3 linked regions of the Drosophila melanogaster genome follow. The protein of the gene in region 3 interacts with the protein of the main gene of each other region in a pairwise test. Each region holds a gene or a part of one and is shown on either strand. Other genes may lie near its edges.

Region 1 (4,749 bases), on a different chromosome or scaffold from region 3:
GCGAGTGGGAGAAAGCAGCAGCAGCAGCAGCAGGTGAAGTAAATGGCAATAAAGGAGAAAAATTAATTTTATCCTTTCCATTTCCGTTGTTGCGCGCATCAGTGTGTGTGCGGTTTTCCTTCTCACTCTTTCCTTGGCCGTGTGGGTGGCAGTTTTTCCCGCACATTTTTTTTAGTTTTCTTCAGCTTTTGCATTATTTTAACGTGTGCTCTTTTTTCCCACCCTCACCTCGACTCTATTTTTTTTCCTTCGTTATAAATCTTGAGGTTGAGCACTCGACTGGACGCCATTTTTTATTTTTCACCTTCAGCCCCCACCCACCTGAACCCCACCCTTTACCATTCCCTCCCCATTCCCCCTTTTAGTCGGACGTCGCTTATTTTTCAATTCTGTCAGCTGCTTTGGTCAGAAAATGTCGCTTGGGAGCGGTCGACGGCATCCTTTTCTCCGATTGCAAAAGTTGAGATGGGATGTGTGGGGTATATATGCTTGTATGCTATCTGCAAAATAATTTATAGATGCCTCAACCAAAATGGACAGAGTAAAGGGTTCCGTTTCCTTATTTACTTTTTTATTGAGACTCCGTTTTTTTTTTCATTTTAGATACTGAAATTCAAGAAGGCACGTTGTATAGTGGATCTCAAGGGGGTTTTAGATAAAGAATCACTTTTACAAATCAATTCTGGACATTAGATACAATAGAGACTTCAGAAACAAGCAAGTGTTTCTTAAGAATTTACGGTAGAGAACTATAGCATTACATTCCTTTAATTTTGTCATGGGTATTCTCATATTTGTACTAATGTCTATGATGTCCATGATGTTCGTGGTGTCCATGGTGCTCATGATGTTCACGGTGATGATCGCCATGATGTTCCGGATATTCATGAGGATTTTCGTGAAAATGACCGGACTCAACTGGATTAGTTCCATGGAAATGGCCAGATCCCACAGGACTTCCGTAACCAGGCTGATATTGGTTTGGAGAACCTTGTCCAGCGAATCCTCCTTGACCCGGGTGGACTCCGCCTTGACCAATTCCCACCTGGCCACCAACTCCACCCTGTCCAGTGAATCCTATTTGTCCACCAAAACCTGCTTGCCCGCCGATTCCTCCGAATCCTCCAAATCCTCCTTGCCCTCCATATCCTCCTTGTCCAACTTGGCCGAATCCATTCTGAGCGTTCACAGCGGTCACCAGTGCAAACAGAGCAATCTATAGTTATAAATTTGTTATTATAAAAATATTTCTAAGTTAGTTAAGATTTCTATAGTAGAAGACGCACCAGTAGTTTCATCGTGGCTGAAGTTTCGGTACTGAGGCGGCTCTAATATTTTTTTGATTTTTATACCACGATTTGGTAATATCAAGTAGGTAGCTGAAAGGTATTCTACCTGGCTGAGGGACTTAAGTTTGAGTCTCTACCTGTAAAAGGAAATCACAGAAAAGTATTGCCGTCAACATCTGGTTACGATGGAAAATAAAATAAACCAGTTTATTGGAAGAGGGAAAATGGAAAAACAGAAAAATCCGGAATTGAATAGAATACTAATACTAATTCAGTACCATATTGAAATGACGGAAATATAAAGGAGTTTTTAAATTATTTGTTTATTTATATTTATTTATTTGATATTTGAAAAGTTTTTATCAACATAACATTACTCGATTTTTTTGATCAGGAAAATCCGGATAATATAAAATCATTAATAAGACATTACTCAGATACAAGATATAACATAGTGACTTTACCTTTTTTGAAACATTTTCTACTGTTGTCTAAATATCAATGATTTCGTATTTATTTTTTCCAGGTATTTCATCAGTAGGAACTTCGCCACCGGGAATTGGAGATTGGAAGCTGCCATGCTGATCGTCGTTTGAGGTTTCGTTGTGAGGTCTTTCGGTACCAGGAAATCCACTTTGAGGTGGACCGCCTCCTGGGCAACCGCAATGCGGACACCCTCCTGCTGGAGATCCAGATGGTGGGGGGTGGTGTGAAGAAGGAGGCGGAGGTGGCGGAGGAGGATATCCCTGCCAATGGTGGCCACCATACAGATATCCCCCTGGTGGTGGATAATGGGGCGGTGGTGGAGGTGGACCGTATCCCTCCCAAAAGTGACTTCCATGTCGATGGGGGCGATGAGGCGGTGGTGGAAAAGGCTGGTGCTGGTGTCCGTGTCCACAGCGTCCACCAGCACCATGTCTGCCACGATGGTGATGATGGTGACGAGGGGGAGGTGGACCTCCGTGTGGGTGATGTCCTCCTCCAGAAAATCGCCGACAGCCCATCTGATCGAGTCTCAGATGAATTTAGAGCAACGATCTGAAAAGATGTATGACTAATATTTTTGAGAACAAGATGCATTTGAATCTTTTTATATGCAAAAATTATTATATATGTTTATACGTCCGTTGTACATACATATGGTAAGCTGATAAGAATATTTTCTATGTATATATTCATTGACTTACATTTTTTCCTATTTCTATCTTAATGGAAACAATATACAGTAAATAAATGTTTGTTTTGCAACTGGTTTATTTTAGCGTACTTATTAATACGTCATTTATTTGTTGCTTTTAATAGCTAAAACAAGTTAGAATTCGATTTGTTGACGCAGTGGCCGAATTCATTGATATATATAAGTCTGGATATTTTTTTCTCTATCAATAAATATTTTAAAGAATAATTCCTAATACAAGTAAAGGCAAAAAGAAAAACCAGCGCACAATTAATTGCTTTGAATTTTGTTGTTTTGAACACAAGAATTGGATCAGCTGCTTAAATGTTATTTACAATTTAGAGTGGCATTGTATTTGGTTGCCAAAAAATAATATATAGGTTTATTTTTGGAAGAGTTGTTTGTTGATAACATATCGCCGCCAAAAATACTACAAGTTCAAATGCTTATGAGATTAAAAGTAAATTCGGAGGTGAAAAGCAACCATTTAAATAAGCAATATTGTTAAACTTTAAAACTGTGAAAATTATATTTGATTATCTAATTACATTTTCAATCTATCTCTTTATTTGTGGAGTCTAGTGATAACCAAAGAATTAAACAACTAAATCGTCTTAATTTCCGAGAAGCTGCTTAGCTATTATTATGCCTACGCTTGCCTTAAGTATTTATCCTTGAGTAAGGAAATCCTTCTGGGCGGAAAGAAAATCCAGCGGCATAAAGTTATGTGCCCAGGGCCAAAATTTTAATTCCAAATTTAATTTTCAGCCATTTTCCTCATTTTCCCCGGATGAATTTGTCAGGGCGTGTCGCATTCGGAAACCACTCGCCGGGGAATGAAGTGGAGACAAAGACATCTCGGGAAAAGGAAACATTTTTTGGCTTATGCCAAAATTACATCAAAAAGCGCTGCGGGTATGTAGGTATGTAGACAGACGTGGCAATTCCCATCTTAGGATTGAGTAAAGTGGCAAAAGGACGAGGGGCAGGCTGGAGCTGAAGGATTGCTGAGCCTTGGAAGTGGCAGGGAGTGAATGTCGTGAAGATATGCCAGGACCCTTGGAGAAAAGTTGAGCGGACCGAGGAACAGGGTTTGGTGATTGCTATCTTCATAATGACTTTGAAGTGTCAAACAATTTTGGGGAATTATCAACGCCCGCCTCGTCTTTCGCAAAGGTGAAAATGAAAATTGTACTTTTTGTTTGACTCAAACTTGATGGGGCCAAACTGAAGATATAATTATAATTTAATTGAAATGAAATTGTCGCTTAAGTCGAGTAGAAAAGGAATGGTATTGCGGCATTGGTAGACTCCAGGGGTAAAGCTCTCAACTTAATATTTTGCTGGCTAAAAATTTGGGCAGATGCGAAATACTCTTGGCTGAGCTGTAAAAGTGAGTCAATAAAATACACAACTATTTGCGCACCAATTTAATATGCCACATAGGCAAGTTAAAGGAGTTCGCCCAGCTCAAGTTTTCCGAGGGATGCGACAAAATACATTGGGTTGACAGAAGCCCATGAAGGGCCAAAAAGAAAAGCACACCGAGTTTCTGAACAGGTCCGAACAATGTCCGAGGAAAATCAATTTAATTTTTACTCATGTTCATGGCGTGACCCCTCGATAATCCATGGAAAAGGGGACGAGGTCGTCCTGCTGCTGAGCCGCCTGAGGTGGAAATTTCACTTAAGTCACTTTCAACTTTCGCAAGATGCCATCAAAGTTGGCTCCAAAGTTACTGGTCAGTTGATTTTTCCACCTCCTGGGGCGGCGGCCATTACCACCGATATTTACATTTTACCCAACCCACGGGGAAAACCTTTTCTCGAACACGATCTCCCCCAGCGCTCTCCAAACTTATGAAAAGTTTCGGTGAATTTGCGATAATGCTTTTTTTGGCTGGTGGTATATACATTTAACTTCAGCGCACGTGTGTCAGCTTTTCATCATATACTCTTCACAATTTTCAAACCGTGAAGTGCTTTTTCATGAGACCAGAAGAAATGAGTAAAGTTTTTTTTTAAAATAATTTTTTATATATTTTTTATCCCAAGAGCTTCAAGTTCTATTATAATGCCCAAAAATGTAACGTATGTTTAAGTTAGTTCATATACGAATATGCTCCTAAAGCATATATTTATGGTGTTGTCGTATGTACAACAATGTATGTGCATATGAAAAGGTTTTGTGAAAAACAATTCTGGTACCCACTGTGTGCCGCTAAGGGAAAACAAAATGGCATACTTGTACTGTATGGAAGATGATGATGAAATTGGAAAATCT
Region 2 (3,353 bases), on a different chromosome or scaffold from region 3:
ATTCCCTAGTAATATTGATAGGTATCAAACTGGAGAAGGTGAAGGGTGATATTTATATCTAAAACATATAAAGGATGGCGTCCTAATCATTCAATCCTTCAAAGGATTGAACTTCCAAATCGCGAGGTTCACGTGAACATTATTTCCGAATATACATATATATCTTGATATCACACGAAATTGCCTTCACGAATCTTTACTGAATGAGACTGGATTTATTCGCGGTCTTAAAAGCTTTGAAAACAATGTCCTCATGGAAATTAATCAATCGATGATGAAAATCAAAACAGAAAAAAAACAGAAATCAATTGTCCGGGATCTAAAGAAAATAGGAATGAAAAGCATATGATTTCGGAGTTCTCAAATCGGACGATCTGCAGATATCCACTATTGGATGCCGAGTCTTGCTTGCAAATTAGCTCCGCTTTCGAGGATTCATCTCCAGACTGAGCTTTCTATTGGATTCCCAGAAAATTTTAATTTTTTTTATAAAGATAGTTGACACACTAAGTTAAAATAAAAAAAAAAAAACATCGTATGTCATGCTTTTCAATATTTATATATTTTGAATGGAAAAGTGATGGATGTTTAAAATACCAAGTACTGTACAGTGATTTTGAACTTTTTAAATATTGTTCAGTGGAACAGCACCAATGGGATCAACGGAAATTTAAATTCGAAGAATGATTTTATTTGCTATGTATTTTCCAAGAACTTAGGACTAATTTCTTGTCATAGTATCTAAAGATATCATTTTAGGCCTTAGAACTTTTGAGCATCTTAAGCAATTGGAGCAGTTGAGTTGGAGATCTGAGCAAAAACCATCTTTTAATTAGTTTCTAAGCAGAATTACATATTAGTGCTGTACTAACCGGCTGGCAGTTTGAGAAGCTACAATTTGATGTTGTCTGCTTTCCAAATTAATCTGGGCTAGCTCAGGAATCTTAGTTACGCCCTCGGTGGAACCAGAGTCTGTGTCGGTCTCAGGATCCCTCTCGTACATCTGAGTTGAATCTGGATCCGGTGTAGATTGGCGCAACAACATTTCACCTGGCGTGGAATTAGTGTTATGTCGGCAATTCGATTCTATTACAGTAGTACTCACTCAAGTAGGACTCTGCCATGGAGTAGAGCAAGCTGGAGCTCATTTGAGGCGCCATTCCGATGACGACCCCATCCACTTTGAACTGATAGTTCTCCCCACCCTTTTGCCGTTGGTCGTATAGAATGTCCTCGCGCTGAAAACCATTCTCGGAATAGTCGTCGTATAAGACGTCCAGCAAGTCGCTGATCACGTTCCTCGAATTCCCTGGCCTAGTCTTGCCGCCAACGGGCTGGGCCAGAATTCTTCCAAGTGCCACAAGCAGCAGGGCGAACACAAACAGCCGGTTGGTGAACTTGCACATGATGTTGCCCAAGCGAAAAGACCGCAGGACCGATGTGCTCCAATGGCGTGCGTTGAATGATTCCAAGTTCTCGGCCGCTGTGAAGGCGAGCCCACCTGGACCACAACTGGAGACTGGAAGACCAAGAAAACCCGATTTATGGACACAGTTCAATGGCCGCCTCCAATCAGCCCAAAGACTTCCGCATTGCCAGGTTGCTGTGGGAATCTTTAGCTCCGCGCATTTCTAATGCTTCCCAGCAGCCACGTTCGAAGTCCGTTCCATTCGAGAGGAACTATCTGCCTTGTGTTCGATCTTCTCCGGCTCCTCATCTAACCCATTGTCGTTCGCAGATATCGCATTGAGTTTCAAGAAGAAACTTCTTTTTTTATTATTGTGATGAGTTATTTTCACTCATCTTGCGCCAATTTAAATTTGTTTAGTAACCCAATCTCTGTAAGCATGATTCCAAAAAAAGTTAACCCAATAACCTCAATTTGCCGCAAAAAGAAGTCCAAAATCTTTATGGCAGTGCTAATTGCCCCGCCTGCAATAGACACAGCTAGATCTCTTTCAGTTATCTAGTCTGGGTGCAGTTCTGGGCGCGGGTTCAATGACTTGGCCACAGGAAGGGGCTGGCAGCCACCTGCAAACTGGTTTCGCACATAAATCTCGCGTACATCGCAAACTATGGAGCACCTGGCCTTTGGCTCTGGACAGTAATTGCCGTTTTATGGCCCCAGGAAGGCTATCCAGACTCCAGCCTCATCCTTCAGCGCATCATTAAAGCCGAACTCGAACCGTTAGATCCAGTGCCCACTTCCGCCGTTGGAGCATCTACATAGAAGGTGATTTGCAATCTGAAGCTAACTATTAACAAAAAGTTATTAGCCATGTAATGGTGCTTAATGTTAGTCGCAAATAAATCATCTCCCATATTTGCTCCTACTAACGAGCAGTTTAATCTCAATGTCGATTATGTTTTCGTATTTATTAATAAGACAATTTCGTCGGCTTAATTCTAGAGTGTGCAATGTATGAAACTAACATTTAAGCTGGCAGTCTGGCGTTCTCACTCCTCCGCTTAATAGCCCTCGATCTGGCGACATTCGCCGTAGCTATCACGACGTTCTCCGCGAGCGCAGCGCGCCAGTCCGTCCCGGAGGAGGGTTCGGGACTCGGCCAGGTCGTCGTCGGCCAACAGATCGAAGCTAACGATCTCCGGTTCCACCGCTTGTGCCCGAGTGGGTTCCTCGTCCAGTTGCCAGGAGCGCGATTGGTCCGAGAAGTAGGTGGGTGCGTCGATGGGGGGGTAAAGGCCATTGGCTCCTCTGCCAAGATCGCTGCGGTAAATGGGGGCACTAATGGAGCGCGGACTGGCATAATCGCCGCCGGTCAGGCGATTGGTATCCAGATAGCTATCGCCTCTCAAGGAGCGGGAGCTGCGGAAGTACTGCGATCCGGGATGATTGAAGCTCTCGAGGAGATTAGAACCGGCACTGCTGCTGGCGGAGACGGGGGGCAGAGCTTGAATCAACTCCGGTTCCGCCTCCAAGTGGAAGGGCTTAATTAGCTGCGGCATGGGTATCAGTTGCGGAGGCAGCACGTCCACCTGCTGGCGCTGCAGGCGTTGAGCCTGCTCCGGATCGCTGGCTGAGATGTCCACGTGATAGGGCGACCGACCCTCAATGAACTCCGGCAGATGCGCCGCTGGCGAGGATTGGCGCTGATTCTGTTGCTGCTGCAACTTCTGCAGCTGACTTTTCTGGTAGAAGGACTTCAGTGAGTTGCTCCTCGCGGGATGTTTGCGCTTGAGCGATCCACTGCCCTTGGTGTTTCCGCGACCCAGTAGCTCCAGCAGGCTGATGCCCTCCTGCGGTCCAGGTGGAATCAGGAGGATCATGAAGTTCTCCAGATCAGCACGAATGTTGTACTGCCCCTCCTGGCGCTGATCATACGTGATTGTGC
Region 3 (4,768 bases):
ACATTTCATAACAAATTCAAAATGGGACGACACCTGTCGAACCAACACGCCCAAATCAAACATTTTCCAGTGACACCTGTGGACCTTCCGACGTTTTAAAGGAGCGTAGTCAAAGTGCTGGCCCCAAAACAAAGCTATCTCTTAAAAGCTTGGGCTTAGAACAGGAAAAGCTTACTTAACCGTTGGGCAGTGGCTTTCTTCAAATGCGCAATGTAATCTAAGCTTTAGGAGCTATAAACAAATATTTGTTGTCGTGATGTCTAAGCTATCTTCAAATATAATTATGTAATTAATCCAGCAAAACAAATGAAAGCACATTTTGTATTAGAAATGAAAAAATTCAAAGATTTTTAAAACTAGTTAGGTCGACTCTTAATATTTCGATGTTTAAGATTCGCAATATGACAAATCTTTTCAAACACTCCATTCAGTTGTTTTGTTTATTTGTTTATTCTTTACTTCAACAATAATCTTCTATTTGTTCTTATCAATATATCACATGCACAAGTGAAAGATTTAGCCTTATCGTGGCGCTGTACTATTTTTATAAATGTTTATTCACTATCACTACCTTAATAAGCCTCCATCAGTAATTTTCAATAAACCAAGTGGCGGACAAACAAACAAGCACTGCCAATTTATACCCAACAAAATGCGTTGCATTCAAATATCACACCGCACACGGATTGTTTATTTTGCTACTATATGAACGGGAATTGTAAGCAACGTCGATTTACGAATGCAATCACTCTACTATAAATATTTGCATAAATATGGATGGGATAGAACACTATTTTCCAATTCACACTCACAGTTTATATCAAATGCCAGGCAACTGCACACGACGCCGTTAATATTTGAACTGAATAGAATTTCTAGCCCGACTGGCCTTTATAAAAGACTTCCGAGCGGCAACAACAACTGACACAAAATAAACGCAGCAAACGAAGCTACAAAAGTTTCCGAGCTGATAATCTTCGTACACTATCATCCAGAGAGGTCAACTTGGGTGAAAGTATACGTATGGGTCTTTCATTTCGTAAGATTTGGTAAATATTGTCTGAGACTGCTTGTCACAACATTAGAACGAAGCGAATCAATAAAACGCGCGCTCCGAATTTTGAAGCTTCGGAGTTTTAGGAGTCAGGAGATTAAAAGAAGCAGCAAAATCCAGTTTTCGGCTAGACTACAAGACATAATTACTTTAAGTATAAAGAACTAACCTTGATAATCAAATTTACCTATACCTAAGCTTAAAAAAGGCAAACATTGTATTCGAAAATATTAGATGATTGTAACAAAGCAAACAATTCGCTTCACTGTGAAGAATAAATCAAATGCTAATCCAAAACATAATGTATCAAATTACAATATTTGTAAAGCTCTCCTTTAGTACACTAAATTCTTCTACCAGGTGGATCCAATCCAAAAGCAAACTGCAAACAAATAACACCTTTCGTGACGAGCTATTTGTTTTCCCGTGCCTTGAATAATTATTGATCAAGGTTAATTTAAATATAGCATGATGGATATCTTGGTATTAGATTGTGAAAGTTAATGTCGTTTTCGTCATTCCATCTTTGGCGACAATGTATTTAATTTTATTTACGTTTTAAAGACTATTTTCAACTAATTGTAGGAACTGCAGTCCAGACAATATAAGAGTAAAATCTTGTTGATATTAAAAAAAAATCAAGCCCTAAGAAAATTTCGCACTGCAATTATAGGTGTTCAATTATACAATATTTTGTTCACAATTTATTGTCAATTTTTTTTCAAATCACGTCACAGTTTCCTGTTGAAGTTTTTTTTGTTAAACACAGTATGGTTTAAGCCCAATTTGGAAGTAATTATATTACAGTCGAGACTTTAATACAAATGACGCTATATTCGCTGAAACAAACAAATTAGTAAGTGCGTGATTAAATTATTTGTTTAGTACTTCCAGATGAGAGAGGCGTAGTTCAACGGGGGCTTTGAGGTGTGTCATTTGCCCAAAACAATTGATATTCCGATCAGGCGTAGAGCCCACTTATGGACACTCCCCCGATTTGCTGTCACATTTCATAACAAATTCAAAATGGGACGACACCTGTCGAACCAACACGCCCAAATCAAACATTTTCCAGTGACACCTGTGGACCTTCCGACGTTTTAAAGGAGCGTAGTCAAAGTGCTGGCCCCAAAACAAAGCTATCTCTTAAAAGCTTGGGCTTAGAACAGGAAAAGCTTACTTAACCGTTGGGCAGTGGCTTTCTTCAAATGCGCAATGTAATCTAAGCTTTAGGAGCTATAAACAAATATTTGTTGTCGTGATGTCTAAGCTATCTTCAAATATAATTATGTAATTAATCCAGCAAAACAAATGAAAGCACATTTTGTATTAGAAATGAAAAAATTCAAAGATTTTTAAAACTAGTTAGGTCGACTCTTAATATTTCGATGTTTAAGATTCGCAATATGACAAATCTTTTCAAACACTCCATTCAGTTGTTTTGTTTATTTGTTTATTCTTTACTTCAACAATAATCTTCTATTTGTTCTTATCAATATATCACATGCACAAGTGAAAGATTTAGCCTTATCGTGGCGCTGTACTATTTTTATAAATGTTTATTCACTATCACTACCTTAATAAGCCTCCATCAGTAATTTTCAATAAACCAAGTGGCGGACAAACAAACAAGCACTGCCAATTTATACCCAACAAAATGCGTTGCATTCAAATATCACACCGCACACGGATTGTTTATTTTGCTACTATATGAACGGGAATTGTAAGCAACGTCGATTTACGAATGCAATCACTCTACTATAAATATTTGCATAAATATGGATGGGATAGAACACTATTTTCCAATTCACACTCACAGTTTATATCAAATGCCAGGCAACTGCACACGACGCCGTTAATATTTGAACTGAATAGAATTTCTAGCCCGACTGGCCTTTATAAAAGACTTCCGAGCGGCAACAACAACTGACACAAAATAAACGCAGCAAACGAAGCTACAAAAGTTTCCGAGCTGATAATCTTCGTACACTATCATCCAGAGAGGTCAACTTGGGTGAAAGTATACGTATGGGTCTTTCATTTCGTAAGATTTGGTAAATATTGTCTGAGACTGCTTGTCACAACATTAGAACGAAGCGAATCAATAAAACGCGCGCTCCGAATTTTGAAGCTTCGGAGTTTTAGGAGTCAGGAGATTAAAAGAAGCAGCAAAATCCAGTTTTCGGCTAGACTACAAGACATAATTACTTTAAGTATAAAGAACTAACCTTGATAATCAAATTTACCTATACCTAAGCTTAAAAAAGGCAAACATTGTATTCGAAAATATTAGATGATTGTAACAAAGCAAACAATTCGCTTCACTGTGAAGAATAAATCAAATGCTAATCCAAAACATAATGTATCAAATTACAATATTTGTAAAGCTCTCCTTTAGTACACTAAATTCTTCTACCAGGTGGATCCAATCCAAAAGCAAACTGCAAACAAATAACACCTTTCGTGACGAGCTATTTGTTTTCCCGTGCCTTGAATAATTATTGATCAAGGTTAATTTAAATATAGCATGATGGATATCTTGGTATTAGATTGTGAAAGTTAATGTCGTTTTCGTCATTCCATCTTTGGCGACAATGTATTTAATTTTATTTACGTTTTAAAGACTATTTTCAACTAATTGTAGGAACTGCAGTCCAGACAATATAAGAGTAAAATCTTGTTGATATTAAAAAAAAATCAAGCCCTAAGAAAATTTCGCACTGCAATTATAGGTGTTCAATTATACAATATTTTGTTCACAATTTATTGTCAATTTTTTTTCAAATCACGTCACAGTTTCCTGTTGAAGTTTTTTTTGTTAAACACAGTATGGTTTAAGCCCAATTTGGAAGTAATTATATTACAGTCGAGACTTTAATACAAATGACGCTATATTCGCTGAAACAAACAAATTAGTAAGTGCGTGATTAAATTATTTGTTTAGTACTTCCAGATGAGAGATTCAAGACACGATGTTAGTAATTAAAAGAGACTTTGGATGAAATTCCTTAAGTACCAAAAATTAGTAGGCTTGCCACGTGCCATATGTTCCCACAAAAATATGAATTGAATTTTAAATATCTATAGGTACTAGAAGTATTGTGGAAAAGAATAATTGGTTTCATTCATGCACGTTTAAAGACTGATTCAATTGTAAACCTTTTTATAAAATGAATTAAAATATAAATGATTATCCAAGGTAAAACAGAATATTAGTTTTTCAGTTACATTTTATTTATATTCGTTTGGCTTAGCTTTATTTCTTTAGGAAACTAATTGTTTTCCTACTTTGACTGGCCGCATAAATTATACCATATGCTGCACATTGTCATTTATGTCCTCAAACTTGAAATTTGGCATGGGGGCCCAACGAATCCGCTCCTGAGTAAACAAAAGGCTGCTCGCGAGGTGAAAACAAACCACAACAATGATCCCCCAGAGAGCGCCGAAAACGAAAATAATTGGAGAGGGAGAGCGTGTTATCCAATTTTTCGGGGGAACTACTTGTGTGTTCAGCAAGCATATGAGCGGCCAGATCCGCAGTGTGGCAAACCCGCTCAGTATCGTTTCAGCCATAAAGGTAGTTGGTCGGAAAGAGCAGATAAAACTCGATCAACGCGAGAGTTTTGGCTGAAGATAAACGGCGAGCATCGGGAAAGTAAACAGAGGCGCAAAAACAAATGTTTGACTAATCTTAATTGGATAATTATATCA

What was found. Proteins that work in one complex are often made in the same cells at the same time.
Region 1: the proteins of glob1 (region 3) and sala interact in a two-hybrid assay, tested with the Drosophila melanogaster proteins (one large-scale study listed by BioGRID).
Region 2: the proteins of glob1 (region 3) and CG13081 interact in a two-hybrid assay, tested with the Drosophila melanogaster proteins (one large-scale study listed by BioGRID).

What each region holds. Positions count from the first base shown.
Region 1 is NT_033779.5:11,482,759-11,487,507, reverse strand, and holds sala (spalt-adjacent), read right to left. Parts: upstream 2,802-4,749; 5' UTR 2,477-2,801; intron 2,328-2,476; 5' UTR 2,294-2,327; coding exon of another isoform or gene 1,781-2,293; 5' UTR 1,754-1,780; exon of another isoform or gene 1,725-1,753; intron 1,427-1,724; 5' UTR 1,299-1,426; coding exon 1,287-1,298; intron 1,217-1,286; coding exon 800-1,216; 3' UTR 559-799; downstream 1-558. Other genes in the region: CG43355 (uncharacterized protein), read right to left, coding at 1,781-2,293. UniProt on the Drosophila melanogaster protein: Likely to be involved in the establishment of the head.
Region 2 is NT_033779.5:19,538,746-19,542,098, reverse strand, and holds CG13081 (uncharacterized protein), read right to left. Parts: upstream 1,493-3,353; 5' UTR 1,407-1,492; coding exon 1,106-1,406; intron 1,051-1,105; coding exon 873-1,050; intron 811-872; coding exon 756-810; 3' UTR 559-755; downstream 1-558. Other genes in the region: CG13082 (uncharacterized protein), read right to left, coding at 2,470-3,353.
Region 3 is NT_033777.3:15,901,631-15,906,398, forward strand, and holds the start of glob1 (globin 1), read right to left. Parts: upstream 3,014-4,768; 5' UTR 2,872-3,013; intron 955-2,871; exon of another isoform or gene 813-954; intron 754-812; exon of another isoform or gene 572-753; intron 1-571.